Drosophila melanogaster: one gene and its partners. The protein of the gene in region 3 interacts with the protein of the main gene of each other region in a pairwise test. Each region holds a gene or a part of one and is shown on either strand. Other genes may lie near its edges.

Region 1 (6,338 bases), on a different chromosome or scaffold from region 3:
AATAGCTGAGATTACTTACTTCCGTATCGCTTAAATATAACAAATGTTTTTGTTTTGAAATTCTTCTTATCCGGCACAAGTAGAAATAAAATATTTGAAGCGCTTGTCGGAAATAAATGAGTCATGTTTATTTCAAATATTTTAAGATTCGTGCCAAAAATTATTTTAATACTTAGTGGATGCAAATTTGTTTTTAAGAAAGTTATTATTTAAATCCTTGTTTTTAGATAATATTATTTAAATATGATTTTAATATTTAATATTATTAAAATATGCGGTACTTTCAATGGGCTTGCATTGCTCTTTCACAGAATATGAACCATAATGGCGTCGAATGCAGTATATTAGAGCAACTAAAATAGCCAAGGTAATTACAATGCCATACACACTGATAAGTAAAGTGTTGCTGTTTTCTGGTTTTGAAATCTCATTGTCCTTTAAAAATATCTTTGCTGTCGTCGAACTTTCGGTTGAACTTTCGGTGAAGTCAGAAATCTGTGTACTTTCTTCAGTAGATGTATCCGAAGTGGATTCCGTTTCACTTGGGGTTGAATCTGTTGTCATAAAGCTAGTTGAAGTTGAATCTGTTGTCATTGTAGTAGTTGGAGATGGACGGTTGCTCTGACAAAAACAAAAAATTATGATAATTCTTGGTTTTTAAAATTAAATTTTTTTAATTAAATACCTATAAATATGTAATATTTAGACTAACATATTTGTATGTCATTTGCATATGCAATTTGACCCTTTGTCATGGGTATTTAATGTTATTGATTTTAAAAGACAGAAAAAGTACGTACATGTATTGGTTTTCTGTGCGGATGTTCAGAACGGTATCCAAAGGAACTGGTAAAAGTGAACAGTGCCAGGAAAACGACGGTCAGTTGAAAATTATGCATATTAGTGACTTATGTAAACTTAGTGTGAACTGCTCCGCCGAGTGCCAAAAAATGAACTAAACTTTAAAATTTCGCTTGCCTTCTGCGGAGCGAGATTAGTACCCTTTATATGAAAGCTTTTCGGGTATATCCAATAAGGAGGAAAATATGTAACCAGTGTATTTATTTTTAATTTAATTGGCTTTATAAAAGTAAGAAGTAATTGTACAATTATTTCTTACTTTTTTATAAAAAAAGAAAGGTGAGTAAAGGATTTAAATACACTTTTAAACGTTAAGCTCGTCGAGTTCATTTTATGAATTTATTGAGTGGTATGTTTTGGTTGACTTACAACTTTTTTCTCATTCTAAAAAATATGAGGATTACAAATCAGTTGATCTCAGTCGTTTTATTAGTCCGCGAACATTTTACATATTTTAAATATTACATATTATATATGTATGTATGTATGCTTAACAGGCCTCCAATGATTTAGTAGTAAATATGACTCAATCACTTTTGTGTGTCATTCCAAACGTTTCCTGTAACTAATGATAATGGTTAATACAAAAATAATTTTTTAAAAAGAAATAATTTCCCTTATATAGTGATGAACAAACTATTTTAATGTAAATAAACAAAAAATTGCTGTGGTTGTCCAAACTTAAAACTCCAAACACAAAACGAAAGGTATTGAAAAACAAAGGGGTTGTCATACCAATACTTCACGGATTTGATCAGTTTATAAAACTGCAAGTTTCCGGTTTTTTTGCATTGTATTGTTATTATGAAAAGTTATACAGTTTTAGAGCATTACAAAAACTCTGCCTTTACAACAGCTATTGAAAGCTCCTCCGTGTGGAGGAAGTGTTTGGCCAAAATATATGTTTGATATCACGATTTATTAAAGCGTGCGTTTTATCTATTGGATTGATTAACCACACAGAAACTCTGTATGGGAATAGATACATATATGACAAGTACTGAAAAAGGAAACGCTGATACGACTGGTTGGTATCAGCGTTTTCTTTTCCAGTACTCGTAAAGTATTCGTATAAATCTTCTTAACTATTACAGTTAGACGTAATATATATCTCGTACTTGTAAAGTACCCTCTTTTGATGAAACCTAGATAGTCAACTTTAAGTAAGCACAATTGACATTTGCTTACATTTATAGTGAGTCCTGCATTCCGTACCTAAATGGTCCAGTTATTCTTTTAAGCTTGAGGACATTACCAACAAATAATTATTATAATTATTATTATAAATTTATTTCATGTTATTACATTTTTTAATTCAAGTAATTTAACAATTTTACAAGCGATTTTGAAAGGATAAGTGATTTTGTGTGGATTCAAACTATTCAAAATCACATTCAACAATGGCTTCTTCGGCTTCAAAATTTCGCCTAGAGGTAGAACGTCGATAGTACTTTATGCCAATGATTGTGGCGGCCACACCAATGATCATTCCAGCGCAGGAGCCTACGATAATCATCCACTTGTTAGACGATCCAGTTCGGTCAGGAATCCGTACCTCAGCCTCTGATCTTGCCCCCTGCTCTGGCAAAATATGACAAACGTATCGCGAATTCTCCCCGCTGTAATCCATGTCACTATCCTCTTGGCACACCAGTTGACCACTCGATAAATCGCATTGGCAATTGTCCAAATTGAGGCACGGCTTGTCCTGGGGATCAACACAGATCTTGGCACACTTGGCTGTATTGAAAGTACCCATCCCATCGTATTCAATCCAGCACATGCAACCGGCAGTGCAATTTGAGTGCGGAACCTCGCTGGTTGATGTCTGCAGTTGAGGGTCTACAGTTGATGATTGCAACTCCACAGTTGTGGTGCTGTATTCATAGGAGTCCGTCGTGGTTTGTAACTCGCATAGTCCGTTAATATTCTCATAGCCCACGTTGCACTCGCACACATTCGGTGCCACACAGTCTCCGAATTGGCAGCCTTTGCAGATCGGCTGACACATAGAAGTGACAGGATTTGTGCTATTGAGCTGATAGCCATCGTGGCATATACAAAAATTGGGTGCCACACAGTGTCCGTTGCTGCAGCCACTGTCGCAAATAGGATCGCATTCGTGATGGGAGTTGTCCTTGAAGCGATAACCCGGATCGCAGGTACAGGTTTCTGGACTGGTGCACTTGCCATGAACACAGTTTAGGCTGCATTTTGGCTCACAGACTTGATTGGGACCCATTTGATAGCCAATACTGCAAACACAAGTCTCCGGTGCAAAGCAAAAGCCGTTGGTACATCCCTTGCTGCACTTGGGTACGCACTTCTTGTCCGCCCCCGACGACTCATAGCCCGGAAAGCACTCGCATTGGTTGGGCGCCACGCAGTGTGCGTTATCCGAGCACTTTTCGCAATGCGGCTGGCAGAGATCATTTCTCATTACGTAGCCCGGCTTGCAGACACAAACGCCGGGACTCAAGCATAATCCGTTCTCCGGGCAAGTGGAGCACACGGGTCGGCAATTGGTGCCTCCGTCGTCACCGGCATATCCATTTTCACACTCGCACACACCTGGCCTCACACATCGGCTGTTTTGGCCACAATCCTTTGGGCAAATGGGCGAGCAATTGCCATTTGAATTGTTCTTGTATCCATCTGGAAAGACGGTGCCGTTTCCCACTTTCTCGTACCCAGGTTCACATTCGCATTTCCCGGGCTCCGAGCAAAAGCTATGGTGTCCACATTCCTTTTCGCAAACTGGAAGGCAATTGTCGCTGGGAGAAGTTCGTTTGTAGCCATTTTGGCAGCTACAGACTCCGGGGCGATCGCAAAACTCGTTTTTTCCACATACCGTTGGGCAAACGGGATGGCAGTCGATACCGCCGTAGCCCGCATTGCAACTGCAAGTATTGGGGGACGAGCAGAATCCATGTTGAGGACACTGTTGTCTGCAGACAGGTTTGCAGTTCTCAACGGATCCTTCGTAGCCCTCACAGCAACTGGGTCTCATTACGGTCCTGTAGGCAGTCTAGAGAACAGGAGAAAAAGCCTCTTTAAAGGAAACTTTAACTACACACTTACCAAAGCTATAAATAATAATATAAATTATGTACAAATTCGAATTACCTCATCTTCATAGACATATTGATGCCTGTACTTAGTAACCCAACCATGAAAGTATGAATACTGTTGAAACGGAACCAATTTACTTTTAAGAACCTTACGGTTATACGGAACGCTTTCCGGGTGACTGCAATCATTTAGGCCATGCCGTAAAATGGCGAAACTTGTGCCAAAGGACAATGACAGACACACAAAATGCAGTGAAAATGCAGTAAAATCCATGAGTAATGCGAGTCAATTCGTTTCCTGAAGTATATACCATATATATATTCACTATCTTAAAGCAACCAGTCTGTCCGATGAATTAAACAGAACTGGACCCTCAATTAATGTAATGTTCTTTTCTCTTGGATTTTTAATGAATTCCAGATAACGAGCACACTATATCTTCGTTTGCTTTGTACATAGGAATCTTTTAGTATTTTATAATTATTTGTATTATTAGCTTTAGGGAGACTAGTTCCGTTCCCCATTTATATTTTACTCAAAGTTTTGTATTTACCTCTTCGTCTGTATAATACTCGGTGCGGTATTTTGTCTGCCAACCACTCCAGAAAGATCTATGCTGGTATGGTATCACTCTACTCCTTTCGACATATCTCTTGTAAGTAACCACCTGCGATCGGTTACAAACATTCAAGCCGATGGGTTGAATGAAGTCGACGAGTAGCATAAAAAAACCCAGACACACCCAAAGGCATTGGATGTGTGACATTATGGAAAGAGCAGAAATCTTGTAAAATTCAGCTTTGATCTCTATGTAAATGAGTTCGGCGCAACGTTTCAAATTCAACTGAGCTGCAAATGTAAATTTATATATTTCATGTTGCTCCAAAATCAGCTACATCCGTTGAGGACTCGACAATCTAGACCTATACATATAAACCGCTTGGGATTATCTGAGCATTTGTTTATCCCAATATTGCAAGCAAAATATGTAAGACAGAAGCAAACGCTATAATGTTTCCTTCAACTACTGTATATATTTCATCAGCCATTCAAATATGCCCTAGGTTACTAAAGATACTTAAATTTATTCTAAATGGTTAATTTCATTGCGGCTAGTCGAGTTGCAACATCAAATGTTATTGCTTTTTTCTACAAAGAACAAGACCGTAAATAAATAATAATTGCTTGATATGACGATTGACGACCGCCTGCAATAATGATTAGCTCTTATCATTTATATGTTAGAACTGTTTATGGTGAAAGTGTGAGTAGTTTACTCTCCCAGAGCACTCACTCAGGTATCTCGGTGATTCCACACTGTTGAATACCTCTCCCAAATTCAATGAGCAGCTACAAATAGAGCAGAGTATCTGATTCCACAACAGACGCCGTTTAGAACTCGTCGCGCGTGGACGTAGATTTTAGAGCGATCGAAAATGGTTCTGATTACTTTGACCCTGGTTTCGTTGGTGGTGGGCCTGCTGTATGCCGTGCTGGTATGGAACTATGACTATTGGAGGAAACGGGGCGTTCCTGGTCCCAAGCCAAAGCTATTGTGCGGAAACTATCCAAACATGTTTACTATGAAGCGGCATGCAATCTACGATCTAGACGATATATACAGGTGAGTTATCCCAGCTAGAAAGGTTATATTAACTACCAAAATTCAATGGATCATCAACTGTTTCACAAAGAAACCAAGAACCATTCTTAAAACGCATTTAAAAAATTACGCTTTACTTGAATTTAATGCGATCATTTTATTCAGGCAGTATAAGAACAAGTACGATGCTGTGGGCATTTTTGGCAGCCGCTCTCCACAGCTGCTGGTGATCAATCCCGCGTTGGCGCGTCGAGTCTTTGTGTCCAACTTTAAGAACTTCCACGACAATGAGATCGCCAAGAATATTGACGAGAAAACCGATTTCATTTTCGCCAACAATCCGTTCTCGTTAACTGGCGAAAAGTGGAAAACTCGAAGGGCGGACGTAACGCCTGGTCTTACGATGGGACGGGTGAGGCAGTTCATCCAGTGGCAAGCCCGAAAAGTACTGATCCAACCAATATACATAATTACAGATAAAGACAGTCTATCCGGTGACAAACAAGGTGTGCCAAAAGTTGACCGAGTGGGTGGAGAAGCAATTGCGTCTGGGTTCTAAAGACGGCATCGATGCCAAGCACGTAAGATTCCATCTATACTATCTGTTGTACGTATTCTATGAAACCAAACCTGTTTTTTTTTTTTTTTTGCTACTTTATCGTCCACAGATGAGTCTCTGCTTCACAACAGAGATGGTCACCGATTGTGTTTTGGGTCTGGGCGCTGAAAGCTTTTCGGATAAGCCCACACCCATAATGTCGAAAATCAATGATCTCTTCAACCAGCCCTGGACCTTTGTGCT
Region 2 (5,585 bases), on a different chromosome or scaffold from region 3:
CTGCTGGCAGAGCTTTTGCGTAAATTTCCCCCACCAATACCGCCCATGCTGCAGAATCTCCAGCAGCCGCCACCAGCGGGCGATGATCTGAACACAGCGAGAAATGCCTCCGAAATGAACAATGCCACAGGACCGCTAGATATCAAAACCGAGGGTGTGGACATGAAGCCACCGCCCGAAAAGAAGAGCAAGTGATTATGTGAATGCAGGTGCACCCTCAAAAAACGTACATACATATTAGTCCGAGTCCTTTGGCAGCTGCATAAAAGGCGCTGAATGCTGCCTGCATTTCCACTGGCCAAACCAACGCTCAGCGAAAAGCAGCGAAATCTACTTTTGCTAGTACTGCCAACTATTTTTTTTTAAAGTGGCTCTAACTAGTGACCATTTAAATATTCAAATTTTAAAACGCAATTTTTGTTCCGTGAGAAAACAATTAAGAACAACAATCAATAACCTTAACAAAAAAAAAAAGAAAACACAAAATTCAAAACTAAAATAGTTTTTAGTAACCTAGAATATAATGTAATTACTGTCATTTAGACTACGATAGTTATTTTTGTGTGAATGTCATACGAAAACCTAAAAAATTCACAAAGCAGTCCAGTCGTGCAGCTGAAGTGTACAATTAATAAGCATTCGAGTAACCGAAACATTGAGTTAGAAGCGCTCGAAATGCCAGGCATTGCTAACTCACAGCTGCCCGGCGATCTGTTCACAACGCGCCGTTACCGGACCACAGCTACGCCACAGCACTTAACTTAGACATAGACTAGGCTACACACGAATCGCTTAATTTAATCGTGGGCACTCTGTGCATCCTCTCTGCCGGTCATCTTCTTAAGCTGGTTGTTTCCATGCACCGTCAGGCTGTGGTTTGTGAACTCGAGTATGCTCCTAAACGACTGCTTGCAGATGTGGCAGGGCACAGTCTTTGTGGGAGTGCGGTAGACGCCGGCATGCGCCACATTCTTGGGAATTTTTTTCACGCTCGGTGGAGCCATGGACTGGGTTCCTTGTGAGGGAGCTGTGAATTGGGTTTGTAATAATTTCTCTCTAAGAACGCGTGCTGTTCAATCAATAGTTACCTAATTTGGGAATAGTACTAATGCGTTGCTGTGGCTTCTGGGGCATCGTCATGGGATGGTTAATGCCACTGGTGCCACCGATCTTTGGCAGCTGGGCTTTCTTCTCGTGGTTCAGCTCGGTGAACTCCAGCTTGCGCTTCTCGGACGGCGGTATCTTGTCGCAGTTCTGCATTAAATGGATGTGCAAGGCACGTTCCAGTGCGAAATTCTTATCGCAAAACTTGCAGCGATTCTTCGAGACTCCCGCTGCAACCGGATTGCTGTTCAGACGCTTAAGGGTATTGGCTCCGTTGTCAACCGGATCGTGCATTCGCATATGCACGTCAAGAAGTGACTTCACCCGAAAGGTTGTGCTGCAATTCTTGCAGCTAAAAACTTTCTCCGGAATGCTTTTTGTCGATGTCTTAGCCGGCTTTGAGGCGATCTTCTCAGGCGAACGCACGCTGGTCACAGCGAGCGACTTTCTTATGCTGCTCTTTGTTAGCTTGGAGACGGGCAAGCAGCTGCGACGGCTTAGTGACACACCGCCACCGACACTCCGCTTGCGAGCTGGGCTGTTGAGCGTTGTCTTGACCACCACCGACATGCGCTGCTTGAAGGAGTACGTTCGCGTCTCTGCGGTGGTGGTGGGCAGATAGGAGCGCCGAGGGCGCGGTAGGGCGGCACCCGAATAAGTGGAGCTCATGGACTGCCTCTTCTTGCCCGCCTCCACTTTTAATTTGGAGGTCGCTGGCTTCACAGAATCAGCGGAGATCTTTAGAGCTTTGGCAATTAGCTCAGAGACTTCGTTCACTACCTCGTTGACATGGGCGACCTCCTTTTCGGCTCCGGCTGGCGAGACCAGCATGGATACTCCTTCGTTGGATACTGTAAATGTAGATGTTTATAGAACGAAACCATATCTCAATAGTATAAACCTACCTTCAGTTATATTCTCTAAAACTACGTTCGCACTCAAGGGATAGACTTGGCTGGGAGCTGGGGTCTTGGCAGCCTCCTGCAAGGATACATTGTCCATGGTAGCATCCCCTGTTTTTAGGGTATTGGCCTTAACCGTATTGGCGGTCACGTCCACTGAACTGGACAAGGTCGAGTTATCGCCGCCACACCCCTCCGGTTGTGTGTTTTCCTTGTCGTCAATTTGGGTCAGATCTATGCTCTCCATGATCTGTGGTGTCTGCGTTTCGGTCGAAATATTGCCCTTGGAGGGAGTGGAGCACAAGGCGTTGTGCCGGTTAAGAATACTTTTGTCAAATGGGCGCAGAGGAGAATTCTGGTCCGGTTCCCCAATGGTCAACTGATGCAGATCCTTTAGGATAGTGCGCCTTAGGTCCTTATCATCGGTGTTTACCTCCACCTTGCTGTTGTGCACCTCCAGGAACTGGCTGTTCTGGGTGACCAGGGCCGACTGCCACTTGGCATTGGACAGGGTGTCCTCCGCGTCAAAGGATAAATACATGGAGACGCTCTCATCGTTTGTCATTATCGATGAGCTACGGGAATCGATCTGCTGGAAGTGAAACTATTGTTTTAGCAATGAAAATGGGATAATGTTCGGAAGTCTTTTCCCGGCAAATGGAAGCAACACCAACTGAAACCACCAAACACTTGCCTTGCCGGCCATAGTTCTGCGCGAATCGTCCATGGTTAAGTATATGCTATTCCCAATTGGCCACGAGGAATTCCCAAATTAATAAATACAAGCAATTAAGCAAAAATTCGAGCAGCTGAAGACCGACGCTGTACCGAAAAAACAAAGCGTTAATATTTCAAACACACTTTTCAACACTGCGCGCGCAATGAAGATAGCAACGGCGCCGATGGGAATGCGCGGCTTTAAATTATGAAAAGTATTGAAAAAACTATAAATTCTTCACTACTTTCAAATTGATGTTAACGCGTAGGAGACTTTGTAGAAATAAATCTAATTTTTTCGGCACACGACGAATTGAAAGGTTACAGTGACTAGATGGGAAATATTTTTGAAAACATAAAATAATTGTGTTTTATCAGACTCGAACAGGGTTCATGTCTTAGATAAAAGTGTAATATCAGACTGGATTATTAGTTTATGCATGGTAAATCGACTTTTAAACTCAGATTTAATAGTAAAATGTAAGAAAGCCCTCTTTCGTAAATAGTTTGCAGCTTGTTTTGCTTAATTTCTTTAATTGTACTTGTTGCGAACTAAGCCTAAATGCAATATTAAACTTTTAAACTCAGATTTAATAGTAAAACGTAAGCAAGCCCTGTTTCGTAAATAGTTTGCAGCTTGTTTTGCATAATTTCTTTAATTGTACTTGTTGCGAACTAAGCCTAAATGCAATATTAAACAGTGTGAACACACGTAAAAATCGCCTATCGAAAACGACATCGATACTAACATCGATTTTTTTGCAGCTCTAGTATACAAATTGGCGAATTGTTGTGTGGTGTGAAAATTCATACTTTCGCAAATAAATTATTAAACCTTGGCAATAAGTTCCTACGTACGGAGCACAAACGAGCTCATCCCCGCCCCAATTACATATCCACCGAGTTCACACACCGAACCAGCACCAAGGGTAGTTTTTCATCTCGCGCGAGTGAGTCACTGGCCAGATTTCCCCACCCAAAAAAAAAACAAGACAGCCGTCTTGCCTCTCAACCACTTGCCAAGCTCAAGTTCAAGTGATCTCACCAGATAGATAGTTCCGAAATGGCCGCCGTGGAGAATGCCGAGCCGCGCACTGAGCTCCAGGAGCTGCAGTTCAAGTCCGGACAGGTGGCCGATGAATCCCTGGAGAGCACGCGTCGGATGCTCGCCCTCATGGACGAAAGCAAGGAGGCTGGAATCCGCACGCTGGTGGCCCTGGATGACCAGGGCGAGCAGTTGGACCGCATTGAGGAGGGCATGGACCGGATCAACGCGGACATGAGGGAGGCGGAGAAGAACTTGAGTGGCATGGAAAAGTGCTGTGGCATCTGTGTGCTGCCGTGGAAGAAGGTGAACATCAAGGACGACGGTGAGAGCGCCTGGAAGGCCAATGACGATGGCAAAATCGTGGCCAGCCAGCCGCAAAGGGTCATTGATGAGCGGGAACGCGGCGGCATGGGTGCACCACCGCAGTCCGGCTATGTGGCCAGGATCACGAACGATGCGCGTGAGGATGAGATGGACGAGAATCTCGGGCAGGTGAACTCGATGCTGGGCAACCTGCGCAACATGGCCCTGGACATGGGCTCCGAGCTGGAGAACCAAAACAAACAGGTTGATCGCATCAATGCCAAGGGCGATGCCAACAACATTCGCATGGACGGCGTGAACAAGCGCGCCAACAATCTGCTCAAGAGTTAAATATGCACAACGGCCACGTCCCGAAACCATAGCGAACATGTTAGTCAGACACCACCTCCATTTCAATGTTGTTAGGGAAAGAAACCAATGTTGTGGGCACAAACCGTAGCTGGTGGTATTGCGTTATTGATACCATATATTATACACATATACAAGTAGTGGCAACTACTCCTGGCAAACGCAAGCGTAACAAACCCATCTACTTACAAGAACTTTAAGCCGCCGAGCCGGATGAACTAACTACTACTTTCTAAAACTATATATATATATATATATATATATATATATATATATATATATATATATATATATATATATATATACATATATGCGAACCAACATACTAACTACTTACTATTACTACACTCGTGTACAAATGGCAACCAGATGGCGCCGGAAACAATTTTATTATGAGATTTACCGTATATGATGTACTCTGTTTTTGGTACAAACTTTTTGAGCATTTTACCGATCTTTGTGAAATCAAACCAAGCAACTGCTGAGATGGATAAATGTGAATTAATGTATTTACAATTCGTAGAACCACCGCATCCCGCACGGGCACCGAAAAACCAAACAAAGACGGGCGGAAATTATGTATAACGTAGCCAATTTTATGTTCTCCATTGTTAACCCTTTTTAAGTAGGCCATGTATTTGGGCATTTCGCAAGCCCAGCACAGCAGTCCAAGCACCAATTCTATTGAATTACACTAGATTTGCACTCGAACCTCTTGCTTCGTACATATGAATAATTTATCCCCAGTGAATGTAACCCCGATCGAGTTACGTAGCTCTAGCTTAAGTACTTGAAATTGTTGGTTGCAATTATCGCAAATATTTAAGAAACTACCTGTTTGTGCGCAAGATATTTCTCGTTAATTATTAAATGTACTATGGAACGAGTATAGCCAATTGATTAGATAACTTATTTATCGCTACTATTGCCACTTTAGCTTACATTCTTAGCTCTTAATTGCAAGTAAATATAAACAAAATAATTCACCACCAAAACGTGTTAATGGATTTATTGCACTGTACAAAATATTTCGATTAACTGAGAATTTTAGGGCACTCGAAAGTAGTTGCTGGTTGCTATGTAGCCGCTGAAGTCCTCGTCGCAATCGTCGGACTGGGCGAATTCGATTTCCGGCGCCGCCT
Region 3 (8,955 bases):
ATAATGACCTCGTTGGCTTCGATTCCCTGAGTGTGAGTGAAATGCCGGGACATCCAATGAGCTTTCACCAGCGTTGCGCATGTCCCGAGAGAATCTCTCGACCAGAGAGAATTCTGCGAGAGGACTCGCAGCTGGAGGATATCTTCTGACTGCCCCCCATTCCGGCCCCAAATAGATGTGCTAATTTAGAAATTACAATGAAGTGCAGTCTTCAATGAGTTTGAGTTTGAGTTTGGCTTTGATTCAATTTGTCATTTCACACTTGGCCTAAATGGCTTTCGGTTGCATGGGGCGGGGTGTTGTAAGAATGGCTCCTACAGCTAAATTAATTGAAAGTGTTGAAGAGCACAGACAAGTTGAGCTTGGATGGGAGGAAGAGGTCCTGTAAAGCGACAATATTGATTCGCAATTACTTACACTCAAGCGCATCAAATTTATAATGTGCTATTGTTGGGTAAGGCATTTGCCTAATAAAAATATATGTACTGATGATTTTCCAAGACTACTATTTAGCCTTTCTCAATCACCCATCAAAATATAAACCATTTGATAAGAGATTACCTAACGAATTATAGCTACTTAAGAACTAATTCCTCGTATCTTCAATCCAAAATGGGCAATCAGATTGCCCTTGGATAAAAAAGGGCATGTCCTGGGCTGGATTGAGGATCGGCAATTAGTGAGGAAGGAGCCCTTTTTTCTTCTGTTTAGCAGTCCTAATGAGCCGGCGATTACGACTAAGTGCGCTGATGATGCTGCATAAATTTTGGTGGCCGGCGAGCACTATGCATTCCACATTAGATTAGAGATTCCGAGGCTGTATGATCTGGGCAGGAACGCAATCCTAAGTCTCGAGAGATGCCCTCTGCAGCTCTAAATTAAACGAACATGCAATCGGATTGCTGAATGAAATCTGCATAGGGAATGCGTCCTATGAAAATATGATTAAGCGCCTCGGCAGACTAAACCTAATCCTGCGTCCTGTTGAGTCCCCGTGTCCTGTGGCGTCATGCATCTGGCACATTAATGAGTCCGGTCAACGCTTTGTCCCGCTTACTTGTTCACAGTTTTCGCGGAAATTACGTGTGCACTTTTCCCGATTTTCCCGGCTGAAGGTGCCGCGATCCTTGGCTTTGTTTGGGTTCGGGGCACAAAGGAATTGTGTAAGTTTCGACAAATTAGAGACCATAAATCCCGGTCCCTGCTTTGTTATCATTGTAGCCGGCGTTTTAGCACACCATGTATCCTTCGGGCATTAGATGGTTTTTCTTTTTTCGGGAACCACTTTTGGCCATTTTTGGCATCCTTTTGTGTTATGCAACCTGTGGGTGGACCAGGGTTCTGGACTAAATCTTGGATAGAGAGCCCTGTCTAAACTGAAGCTCAACGCAAATCCCAGATCTAAGTGGGTGATTTAAACAAGGCTGAGCTATTTTCGGTTATTTAATCGTAGCAAAACCAGGGCCTACATATTTTTAGATCCTTTTTGGTTGGTGCTACTTAAAATATTACATTTTTATCATTAAAAGGAAACATGCAGAAAATATAAGATTGGTAGGAAATCTTCATAGTATTTAGATAAATATATGTATTAAATTTATTTATGTATTATTATTATTATGTATTTATGCACTGGCTATTAATTAAAATGATTTGAATACTCATTAGTGAAATCAGTTCCGCACTGTACCTGTTGCTTTTAACGAAATTCAATGCGGCCGAAATCCTTCGAGATGAGATCAGTTTAATCAATGAACTTAGGTTTCGATCCTGCCACAGTTCCTTGCTAAGTAAAGGGATTCATTGATCGTTTGGCTTGTTCAATGAAACCACGGGCTCATTCTCAAGATCACGGGGATCCTGGCCATAAATCTATCGCCGAAATGGAAGCGGAACTAATAAAAGAGGACCTGGCAAATGGCCGACTTGATTCAGGTACCAGTTTGGCAATCCCGTGAGTGGTTCAACCTGTTTTGTGATTTGTGGATGAGCCGGGAAACGGGAGGGAGAGGAAACTACTGTGAGAGAGAGTGAGATATATATAAAGGAAGAGGGGGAAGGGTGAAATAGTTTTTAACAAGCGAAATTTGTGAAATAAACACAATTAATGAGCAAACCATGTTAGTTACAACTACCGAAAGAGAGTGCATTAAATGGGTAGGAAAGAGAAAGGTGTCAAGGAAAAGTACCAGAGAGATTTGAAAAGAGAGACAGAGAGAGAGAGAGAGTGGAGGAGGCCAACACCCCTAAGCCAAAACCAAAAGCTACCTGCAACCCAAACTCACACACACCGAGCGAGCCAACCCAACACACAGATACACGGCACTGAGATACTGAGATACTGGGGGAAACTACCCCTACAGCAGGAGAGAGAGGGAGAGAGCGAGCGTGTGCGAACGAAAGAGACGGCTGGCATGGCAGGACATGGGCGAAAGCGAAGGATTGGGAACTGTGATTCCGATTCGGATTCGAGAGCGAGCGAGCGAGCCTCGCCCATTTCACTTGCTAGCGAAAAACAGGCAACGTATTTAAACCTACGGGCGGCAGGAATCGCACTCAGTCGGTGGTTGTTGATCGTCACGAGCACTACTCACTCGCAGTTATTCACTCGATTCGATTCAGCTCATTGCAGTTCGTCGCAGTGGCTGTTCCGTATTCCGTATCGAAATCGCATCGTTTAATCGACAAATTTACCCGATAATAGCAATTAATTAAGCTAATTTTCAAAGCGTGCTCAACAAATATTGTGACATTAAACAAAAGTTGCCAAAAACGAAAATCTGGAAAATCGCTAACAAAATAAGAAAAAACCAACTTGTAGCAAGTGAAGTAAACCAATAGAAATCCGTACGGATCGCGAGTTGCTCTTTTGGTGGAGCTATGATGACCACGACGACCTCGCAGCACCATCAGCACCATCCAATCATGCCGCCAGCCATGCGCCCCGCCCCCGTTCAGGAGAGTCCTGTCTCACGCCCCCGCGCCGTCTACAGCATCGATCAGATCCTGGGCAATCAGCACCAGATCAAGCGCAGTGGTGAGTTTTAGTTTAACAAATATAAACTGGGGATAACTTACTGGAATGTAAATGTAAGGGGATCCTTTTTACAAAAATTCATCGTTTGCCGTCGGCGATCTGCGTTAGAGTTTCTTAGTACATCACACAAAAAGCTTAAAAGGAAACATAATCAAGATACAATAATTGCATTTTCTTAGAGAATCTTAATAAATTGTTTAGCTTAGTTTGATTTAAAAAATCCAATATCAAAATTAATTTGTGAATAGCTATGGGCAGGCGTAAACGAATTAAAAATTCTAAATTTGAATGTATAATTTGAATTGATTACGACCTATTTAGTTAGTCTAGCTTGTTAATTACAGCTTTGAAATATTTCTCACACACATCTTAAACATAATGAAAACATCCTGAATGCGTTACAACTTACCACCAGCAGGGCAAAATATCACGTTAGACTTCATGCACAGCCAATGGGCTCCCCCCCCAAATTTGGTGCTCCAAAATCCGAACCGTCCTCCTACTCCACTGACCACATCAAATAGATCCTTTCGCAAAGGAGCCGGAGCAGTGGAGAGGCAGATTGACATTGCCATCCATATCATATGCAAATTGCTCGCAAGGGACATTTTATCATAGTTGGGAAAGGTGAATGAGGGCAGTTCAAAACTTTCCGACAAACACCGACCTCGAACTCCACCCAGAGAGCAAAAAGAAAACATATCATGACAATGGGAGTTGTTCGGCATGTCGGAACTCTTGTTGTGGGCGTGGCCAAGCTGCAGGAGGCAGTTCGCCCAAGGATCTACTTGAGAAGAAAAAAAAAAACACTGTATCAAAACATATCTGGCCGGATATATCGCATGGAGAGCGGGAACGGGCAATTGCGTCATTAGACCCGTAATTAGATTGAAGTCCTCGGGAGAGGTGGAGGCTGGAAATTGCCTGGGCTGGATTCAGTGGAATCACGGCACCCATTGGTCCAGGTTGCAATTTGGCGACAACGAGCGGCGTGCGCACCGCAGGACACTGCATCCTGTGAGCCTCGTAATTTGATGCTCGCTGGAAATTACCTTCTTGCCACATGGGTCTGCGTAAATGTTACGAAATACGATAAGGATACAACCAGGACACGGGCGTCCTGCTGAGCGGGGACGTGTCCTGGTGCCATTGTGAATCCGATTAATTTGAGGTTCATTAAAGTTTGATTACACGTTTTGCCTTGGCTCGAAAAGAAACCGTTTTGAGTACTCACCAAATCGTTTCGTGTGAAAGGATATTTATATGCTCGCTGCCGTGGTATTGGGGTTAAAACTTATTCCGGCTTTATATTTATTTGTTATTGATTGCCAAATCAATTTGCGTAGCTTTCGAGCACTTGAAGGATTTGAATTTTATTCGAGACTGAGACCGTACAAAAAAAAGGGGGTTAAAATTGAGGATATAACTACTTCAGCCACAATTGAATGAACTTCAATTTCTGCAGCTGCCGTTTGGCTTTCGATTTTAAAAGTCAAACGCGAAACTTTTTGTTTCCCCACACACTCGAGTTCAATTCGAAATTGTTTAACTTTATTTCCCTGCCACTTTTTGTTTTTTATCGCAGATACACCCAGCGAAGTGCTGATTACGCATCCCCACCACGGCCATCCGCATCACATCCATCATTTGCACAGCAGCAATAGCAACGGCAGCAATCACTTGTCGCATCAGCAGCAGCAGCAGCACTCGCAACAGCAACACCATTCGCAGCAGCAGCAGCAGCAGCAACAATTGCAGGTTCAGGCCAAACGAGAGGACTCCCCAACGAATACGGACGGCGGCCTGGACGTGGATAACGACGACGAGCTGTCCTCCAGTCTGAACAATGGCCATGATCTCAGCGATATGGAGAGGCCGCGTAAAGTTCGAAGGTGAGTGCAGCGACAATCCGCTTAGCAGATCAAATCGTATTTACCCATTGTCGGGCTATTAAAAAACATGCCAACAAAGAGGAGGGGGGCAAACTCTTATCCGACGTATCTAACGTGCCGCCCTTGCCGTTCCTTTCGATTTTTCACAGATCTCGCACAACATTTACAACATTTCAATTGCATCAGCTGGAGCGAGCCTTCGAGAAGACCCAGTATCCCGATGTTTTCACAAGGGAGGATCTGGCCATGCGATTGGATTTGAGCGAAGCACGCGTGCAGGTAATTGAAATTGGTTTTCGATTCGCACAATTATTTTCGAATTAAGTTGCAGTTCAACTCGCTCAAAATGTATCTGTATTTTCATCTAACGGCTATGGGCTTTAAATATTGCCATCGCAGTGTCCGCTAATAAGCGAATAAACCACTTTCAGAGTCTGGGAACTTGAATGGCTAGATAAGAACGGGCAAAACAATCGCCGAACCCAATTTGTAAATGGTCTTTGAAACACTTAAGCCCCACTTTGTATACAAACACGCTTAGTTCGTTAGTCGGAGGAGGGTTGAATACGGGTGAATACGCGTCCCTTTTTCTCTATAGAGGGTTGGCACCAAGGACATTAGATATTGTGATTTTCCAAATGATTAAATCGTCCGCGCTCACATGGTGTTGGTATTTTTATTAACTCTACTTTCGGGTAAACAATTAAAGTGGCTTTGGGTGCTGACTGGCGGCAGGACACGCGGCCAAATATACCCGACTACACATGTAATTAGGGTGTCCTTTCGCCCCGAATCGCATACGATTTGATTTCAGTTGTGAAACGCTTTCAAACACTTCACATCTGATTGAGCGATTCGCTCAATTTCGATGCTGTTTGTTGACAGGGAATAAAAAAGCAGGGAAAAGTATGGCCTGGCACAAAAAGTGAAAAAAAACAAGAAGTGAAGAGAATGTGAATGTGAAACAACTTGACCTAAGCACTCACATAGGGATTACCCGCTTCGAATACAAATTGTCCGTTTCACGGTCGTCATCCGCATGCTCACATCCTCACATCCGCATTCTCATCCTGCGCGTCCTTGCACTTATTCGTATCTGTTAGCAGATTAACTGTAATTGGTCATTGATTCGCATATGCAGAGCGTTTCGGGTACTTGAATAGTAACCGACTTAGAGCTGCCCGATTTTAATACATGTGTTATTTTTTTTGCTGAGCTGCTGATAGATACAAAAGTATCCAAAGCGTAATCCCCGCTTGTTTTGGGGTTGGTAAGTGAGCAATTATTTTCGGATTTGCATGCTCGTTGTGTGGGGCATTTGGTGAAAAAAAAAGGAGTAACCAGCGACTTATCTGCCGGGTTAAGTCAAATTTTTATTGTCGAGTTGGGGTATCGAAAAAAGCGAAAAAAATATTGAAAGCGAATTTGTATCAATCTGGAAATTGTTGAAACAAAGCGTTTTTGAACGCTTTATGCAGTCTTTTTAATTGGAATATATGCAAAGAACTTTCACATTTGAAAATCCAAAATAACGAATTCTTATACAATTTTTTAAAGTACACATTTTTTTTTTGAGTTTACAAACCGCCTCTTCCAGTTTTTGCGACAGTTTCTTCTCTCGTTTTGATCGCACATGTGTGATAAATGCTGAACGGATATCCGCAATTCAACTTTTACTGCCTGGCTGCTCTGGCACAGTGGTTTAAGTTGTTGCCATAATAATTGCTGCCAACTGACAATTAAAAAGCCCACAAAATCGCACACACACACAGCACTTATGCTGTGAAGGGGTTGGGGGTGGTGGGTGGCGTTTTCTCAGCAGAGACACACACAGGACACAGGACAATAATTGGCAGCAATTATAGCAAGGAAATCGTTGCTAATTTACTACTCGCTCAACTGCACACATTGTTGCAGATTGTGGGTGGCCGTAGAAGGGGGTTACATCTAAATACAGGGTGTCTATAATTGCAGAGCCTTCTCTATTGTCTCGAATTCATCAACGAGCGTTACAGACAGTTGTCAAGTGATTTCAATTTACAAACAATTAATTTTGCCATCAAAAACGAGAGCCTCGGCTCGGACTGAAAATTCGTCGCCCCCAAAAGGCGGAAATGTATGTGCAGCCAACGCCTATTTTGTGGATGGCCTAGGGGGCACATTTGCATAGGGGTGAATTTGGGTGGCTGCGAGTTTGGTCCACCCCAAACCCAAGCAAGTGTCGAAAAATGCATAAGACACCCTTTTGTCCGACGAGCGAGACGGGTAGCGACAGACAGAGAGCGTTGCAAATCAGAGCAGAACACTTCCGATTGGATGCCATTGTATTTGACCTAACCCTCCACGGCGTCCAAGTCCTTTGGCTCAGACACTCGAGGCTGGAGGCGGCAGAAGGAGCCATCCAAGGACCAAGTGCTTCCAACTTTGCGAGCACACAGATTGATAGATTGGGAAATTGTTCGGTTTTTGGTCAAAGTCAAAGCAATTACAAGTCGCTTGCCAAGGCGCTAGTTTTGTAGAACTAATCAAGTTTAGATCGAGGGATAGATACCCTTTAGAAAAGTATGCTGGTTTTTGAAAAGTATACAGGTTGTATACATAAGTCAGAAAAAGGCATATCCTCTCTTCGGTAAATGATATATCAGATAATTTTATGTTTTTTATTACCCCTTTAGCTTATAATAGCCTTAAATCCGAGGGCACCCAAAATTTGCATACCTACAACTCCATCTCTAAACTCCCTTCTTTTTCGTGCACTTGCAGGTGTGGTTCCAGAACCGTCGGGCTAAATGGCGCAAACGTGAGAAGTTTATGAATCAGGACAAGGCCGGTTACCTTCTGCCCGAACAAGGTGAGTTAACCACCCCCATCTCACGAATCCACCCCATCAAATCCCAGCCATCACCCACCCAACCAGCGATACGCATTTGATTTGTCCGCAAATTGCCAAATTACGTGTGCAACATAATTAGGAATTATGTCGCTTGTGTCGCTTGTCTCACCACCATAACCACCGCCACCACCCGCTCTCTCTGACTTTCGACTAACGAAATCGCCCTTTTGCCTTCCGCTTGCAGGTCTGCCGGAGTTTCCGCTGGGCATTCCCCTGCCGCCACATGGACTTCCGGGTCATCCGGGCTCGATGCAGTCGGAGTTCTGGCCCCCGCACTTTGCCCTCCACCAGCACTTTAATCCCGCTGCAGCCGCTGCCGCCGGCTTGCTGCCCCAGCACCTGATGGCGCCCCACTACAAGCTGCCCAACTTCCACACCCTGCTCTCCCAGTACATGGGCCTGAGCAATCTGAATGGGATCTTTGGCGCGGGAGCAGCTGCAGCAGCGGCGGCAGCATCGGCCGGCTATCCGCAGAATCTATCGCTGCACGCAGGACTCTCTGCGATGAGCCAAGTTAGCCCGCCGTGCAGCAACAGCAGTCCGCGCGAGAGTCCCAAGCTAGTGCCTCATCCCACACCGCCGCATGCCACGCCCCCAGCGGGCGGCAACGGAGGCGGCGGACTGCTAACGGGCGGACTGATCTCGACGGCCGCCCAATCGCCGAACAGCGCGGCAGGTGCCAGCAGCAACGCCTCCACACCCGTCTCCGTGGTCACCAAGGGCGAGGACTGAACGCTGTTCCGTGATATTTGGATTCGTTATGTACATATATAGATACACGCATACTTGTAGATATCTAGTTTTATTCATGGTCACATAGCCCACGCACTGTAAGATATTTGCAGCTTTGTCGATTGCCAAAGTTAACGTAGTTGTAATGCCTAAAGAATTATGTATCTGTAAGCGATCTTCGAGCGAACATTTTGGTAGTCTATCCACTAAGTTTAAACTGTCGAGAAATAAACGATATGAAAAGATACTTGTTGCGTTTTATGGCTGGTTTGAAGATATGCTAAAAAGTAAGATAGATTGTTGATCAAAGAAATGAATTATTTCACTATAAAGATCTTACGTCAAGTGATCTTAAGTTATCACACAAAACATAGGATGTGTCGTTTCTTTTGTACATTCCT
Region 4 (4,367 bases), on a different chromosome or scaffold from region 3:
ATTTTGCGTTGTTATGTACTGCGTGGCGTCTTATCTCTGTGCCATAATAATATTTAAACTGAAAATATCTTAGTTGGAGTATATTAATCTATTACATTAAATAGCTGGTTGTTGCATATCAACCTCGCGTCATCGCAAAAAGACCCTCACAAGAACCTCTTCGAACTATTTGAATGTCTAAAAACGAATAGTGAAGTATATTTTCGATTAAAAAATAATAATATAATGGATATAATGGACTCACCAGCTCCACAGAAACGAGCACAATTAAATTTTTCCTCGTTCATATAAAGCTGCATATTGCTGCCGCAAATGGGATTGTATTGCGATGTGGTGGGACAGTTACCAAAGCAGTTCAGAAATTCCTTGGTTGGGGCCGGTGCTGGTACAAATGGTGTAAGACCTCCTGGTATTCTTACATTGTTAACCAAAACTAAGTTTGCGCTGGTGGGCGAAATTGGTATTGACGTCGTTGCGGCGGCATTGTTCCATGGGCTACGAGATGTTTCGAAAATTAAAGGTTCTTGGGCTGCGCCCAACTGACTTAAACAAGCAAAAATAAATATTGGATGCCAATTGATGCACATCTTTAACTGAATCCTGAAGCTTATAGTCGTATGTGCTTTCGTTCGCTGATCGAGGGAAACTGAACCAACACAAGAATCAGCTGCACTAAGCATAAGGAACTTCACATATACTGGAAAGTTTTAATTCAGTGAATCAAAATACAAAGTAGTAAATAAGATATGGGAACGCCACTGAATACAGGTTTCTAAAGCAGTCAATCGTCTGGAAAATCCAGTTCTGTACGATGCCCGCTATCAATTTTAAGTTTATTATCATGTGCTTATATTTGCAATAATCTAGGGAAATCCCAGATTTGATTCATCAAAAATATGGGTTGGAAATGACCAACAAGAAACTTTAAAATTCGTGATGACTTATCCAATAATAATATTATAGTAAGGGACTGCTGTAATTCGAGGGCCAGGCATGGAAAACGCAGGAGAAACATATTGCATAGAACGCTCCAGCTTTTGGTAGTTTTTCGAAATAGCTGCGAAGCCAATGGTAGCTGAAAATCTCTTTATATTGTTGTACCCATACAATTAAATGTAGGTGCACTACTTACAGCTTGAAGTGGAAGGCACATTAAATGGTTCTGCACTCCATGCATCAGTGCCATTCTGTACCATTTCTTGCTTGTAATCTGGACTCAAGGCTCTTTGTAAGCATTTTCCCATATGGATGCTTTCCTTAGTTCGCCCACAGCGACAGACGGCCAGTAAAGGTTTGTACATCTCCGGAGATACGAATCGCGATTCGCCTTGGTTGTTGTGCACAAAAGGGCACAGGTCTATAGGGTAGAGTATGTGAGTGCACAATTATAAACCTCTATGTAAATATACCTTTTAATTTTAGCTGGTTACTTAGTTGAGAATTAATCTCAGATTGGTGGTAGAACTTGTTAGTTTGCTTGCCCGAAATTTCGCTCCAAGCTTTTGGAAAACTACGACGCGAATTGTGCTCCATGCGCACTTGCTCCTTTCTAAAATTGTTAATAATATCTGCTATTCATATTTTAATAAGATGTGCTGAACTCTTACAGCTTTCCAATCACTTTAGCAGGTTCCATCGTTTTATTATGTTTAACTAGTCAATAATTTTGTTTAATAAACCCGTTTTCTGCGCACGCTCGCCATGGCAACCAGTTAATTAGTATTTTTATACCCATTACTCGTAGAATAAACAACTTCTGGACAGTCTAGTAACGACTACGTTATATAGTGACATTTGCAACCGAAAGAAGACTTTTGGGAAAGTTCCATGTATAACTGCTTTAAAACTGAGAGACTGGATTGCGTAGAAACTGACGGACGGGCTTTGTTATGTCGCATCGTCTGCTGATATTGATCAAGAATATAGGAATATAGTTTGTGATCATAAAGGGTACCTTCATTGCGAAGCAAATTTCGGACTGTTACAAAATATACCCTATGCAAGGGCCTACAAAAATTTCAATGCAGATCAACAAATGAGGATTTTGTTGTTATTTTAGTGCAAAGAATCCGTCTAATAATATTAATAAGCTATTTAAGGTATATTTTTGTTTTTGCTGAGTAGGTGTGAATTTAAAAGTCCAATGAGCAGTAAACAAACCAAAGACTAAATAAATGCAAGTTATTTTCAAAATATGCTGAACATTTATTATAAGCTTGTATTTTTACAAGTTACATACGCCTAAGTTTAAACCTACAGCATATGATAAGGATATCAAATGAAATGCATGCTGTTTATTTACACTTTAATGTTTTGTACAAAGGGGGTTTTACTTAATTATTTTTAATCTTACAAATGTCTGGTGAATATGAAATTTATTGCATACTGGTGTACGTTACTAAATATGGTCAATATGTACATAATTTATTATAATTAATTATATGTGTTTTTATTGATAATATATGTTTATATAACATTTGATTCAAAATAAGAATACATAACTGAAGGACGTTTTTCAAATTGTTAGAAGTGTCTTTATAAACTATAATCATTTGTTCTAAAGTTTTCAAGGGCTATTATTTCTTATGTTCTTTGGTCAAAAACATTTTCGCGAAAATTTTTAATTTTTTGCACAAAGTATGACTCTAGTGCTTCAGCACACTTATAAAAGGATGATTCTTTTGGGTTATAGTAACGGCAGTTGTCAAAAATTTTTGTCATATCGCCTATAAACTCAGATAGTTTGGTATAGGTGTTTGATTCGAGTTTAATTTCCATCCGTTTGAGATCTATAGAAAAAAATATCCCCATTTTATTTATTTTCGAATAAATTTATTTTTTGTGTTACATACCCATTGGCTCTTTAATCACTTTGTAATAATCGGGTGCTTCCTTCGGATCAACCGGTTCCATAAATGGCCAAGCACTTTTGTGTAACTGTAGGGAAATTTAATATTTATTCCATTTTTGATGTGCTACAGTTGAGAGTTTTTCGTTAGCCAGAAATGAATGTGAAACGAATGAACGAATTGGATATTTGATTCACTTGGTCTTGAACTTATAATACTTTCGTTCTGTTCGTTACTTTGTAATATTTTTTCAACAATTTTACAAACATTACCGTATTTTAACATGTTTGATGCCATCAATATATAAACGATTTGTTCGTTTATCTAACACAGAATAACGATTCCCACAAAATTAAATTTTATTTAATTAAGGTCCCTAATAATAAATAAAAATTATTATGAATTTCAGGTTATTACCTGCATCTGCTTAATTAAGTTTTTCAGCTCTTCAACGTCATTTGAAGTCAGTTTCTTCATATTTGCAGCGTTAGCATCGTTTTTGCGTTGGCATTCAGGGCAAACATATTCATCAATAAACTCTGCTTCGCTCTGAAGTATTCCAACGCAACGGCCATGAAACCAATCCTGGCATTTATCACAGCATATATAAAATTGTGACTCGTCGTATGGTTGACGACAGCTACAGTAAAGCTGTTGCGTTTCTCTCGCCCTCTTGCAATCAATGCAAATGAACTCCGATAGTTTTTTAGAAGCTTCCTCGGTAATACTGACACAATCCCCATGGAACCAATTGCTGCACAAGTCGCACCCCACGTAAAACCTACATAGACACAATTACAATATATTAATTAAAAGCGCGTTAAGAATATGCATTTCTGCATTACTTTGTGTCATCATATGGAGTACGGCAAATGCAATACAACTTTTCCTTTTTTCTTGTCAACTTTTTTGGTCGGCCTGCGCCATGTCTGGGGTTCTGCACCTCTGTCCTACGATTTGATTTAGGTATTATTAGATATATCATATTGCACACAAGTGCATGAGTATACGTACCGTTTAAAATCTAAATTTGGTTCGCCACTTCTCTCATTTTCGCTTTGTTCATCCGGTGAAGCGTTACTTAAGGGGCGTACATGTCTTTGGACTTTAGTTTTTACATCTTCGTGTATTTCGCTTTGTAAATTACGCTCTAATAAGGAACGCTTGCGCAAAATATTTTTTTTAAGCAATTCTTTATGACGTTCCAATTGCGATTGCTTTTGCTCTCCAAGTTCAGCGACTTCGTCATTCTTGCTCCGATTTTTTTTTAAAATTCGATTAAATTGGCTGCTTGTTGTCATAGCATTTGGGCGTCTTAAGGAAGTACGAATTTTCCATTCAGTGTCATCAGTTTGGCGACTGGGAGTTAGTGCTTCCTCATTCACACTGCCCCTTGAGCATGTTTCCCACTCATTCGTCGAATTCGCATTTTCTTGTTGCTTCTGCATACAAACAAGTTTTTCTTCAAGTTCCGGACTTAAATTACCTTGTTTCAGAGCATTTGAAATAGCTGAAAAT

The links.
Region 1: the proteins of hbn (region 3) and NimC1 interact in a two-hybrid assay, tested with the Drosophila melanogaster proteins (one large-scale study listed by BioGRID).
Region 2: the proteins of hbn (region 3) and CG8478 interact in a two-hybrid assay, tested with the Drosophila melanogaster proteins (one large-scale study listed by BioGRID).
Region 4: the proteins of hbn (region 3) and CG34453 interact in a two-hybrid assay, tested with the Drosophila melanogaster proteins (one large-scale study listed by BioGRID).

What each region holds. Positions count from the first base shown.
Region 1 is NT_033779.5:13,971,991-13,978,328, forward strand, and holds NimC1 (nimrod C1), read right to left. Parts: upstream 4,265-6,338; 5' UTR 4,207-4,264; coding exon 3,988-4,206; intron 3,890-3,987; coding exon 2,240-3,889; 3' UTR 1,168-2,239; downstream 1-1,167. Other genes in the region: He (hemese), read right to left, coding at 250-621, 801-899; Cyp28a5 (cytochrome P450 28a5), read left to right, coding at 5,370-5,557, 5,702-5,948, 6,013-6,117, 6,205-6,338.
Region 2 is NT_033777.3:9,761,051-9,766,635, reverse strand, and holds CG8478 (uncharacterized protein), read right to left. Parts: upstream 2,883-5,585; 5' UTR 2,734-2,882; coding exon 2,701-2,733; intron 2,611-2,700; coding exon 2,010-2,610; intron 1,956-2,009; coding exon 1,089-1,955; intron 1,028-1,088; coding exon 798-1,027; 3' UTR 501-797; downstream 1-500. Other genes in the region: MED6 (mediator complex subunit 6), read left to right, coding at 1-195; Snap24 (Synaptosomal-associated protein 24kDa), read left to right, coding at 3,787-4,425; Mpi (mannose phosphate isomerase), read right to left, coding at 5,491-5,585.
Region 3 is NT_033778.4:20,954,513-20,963,467, reverse strand, and holds hbn (homeobrain), read left to right. Parts: upstream 1-2,558; 5' UTR 2,559-2,880; coding exon 2,881-3,037; intron 3,038-4,622; coding exon 4,623-4,929; intron 4,930-5,078; coding exon 5,079-5,208; intron 5,209-7,692; coding exon 7,693-7,780; intron 7,781-8,006; coding exon 8,007-8,554; 3' UTR 8,555-8,800; downstream 8,801-8,955.
Region 4 is NT_037436.4:231,716-236,082, forward strand, and holds CG34453 (uncharacterized protein), read right to left. Parts: upstream 1,637-4,367; coding exon 1,608-1,636; intron 1,550-1,607; coding exon 1,410-1,549; intron 1,358-1,409; coding exon 1,133-1,357; intron 1,076-1,132; coding exon 942-1,075; 3' UTR 765-941; downstream 1-764. Other genes in the region: CG34454 (uncharacterized protein), read right to left, coding at 119-177, 245-587; E(bx) (enhancer of bithorax), read right to left, coding at 2,584-2,789, 2,853-2,937, 3,267-3,630, 3,695-3,799, 3,864-4,359.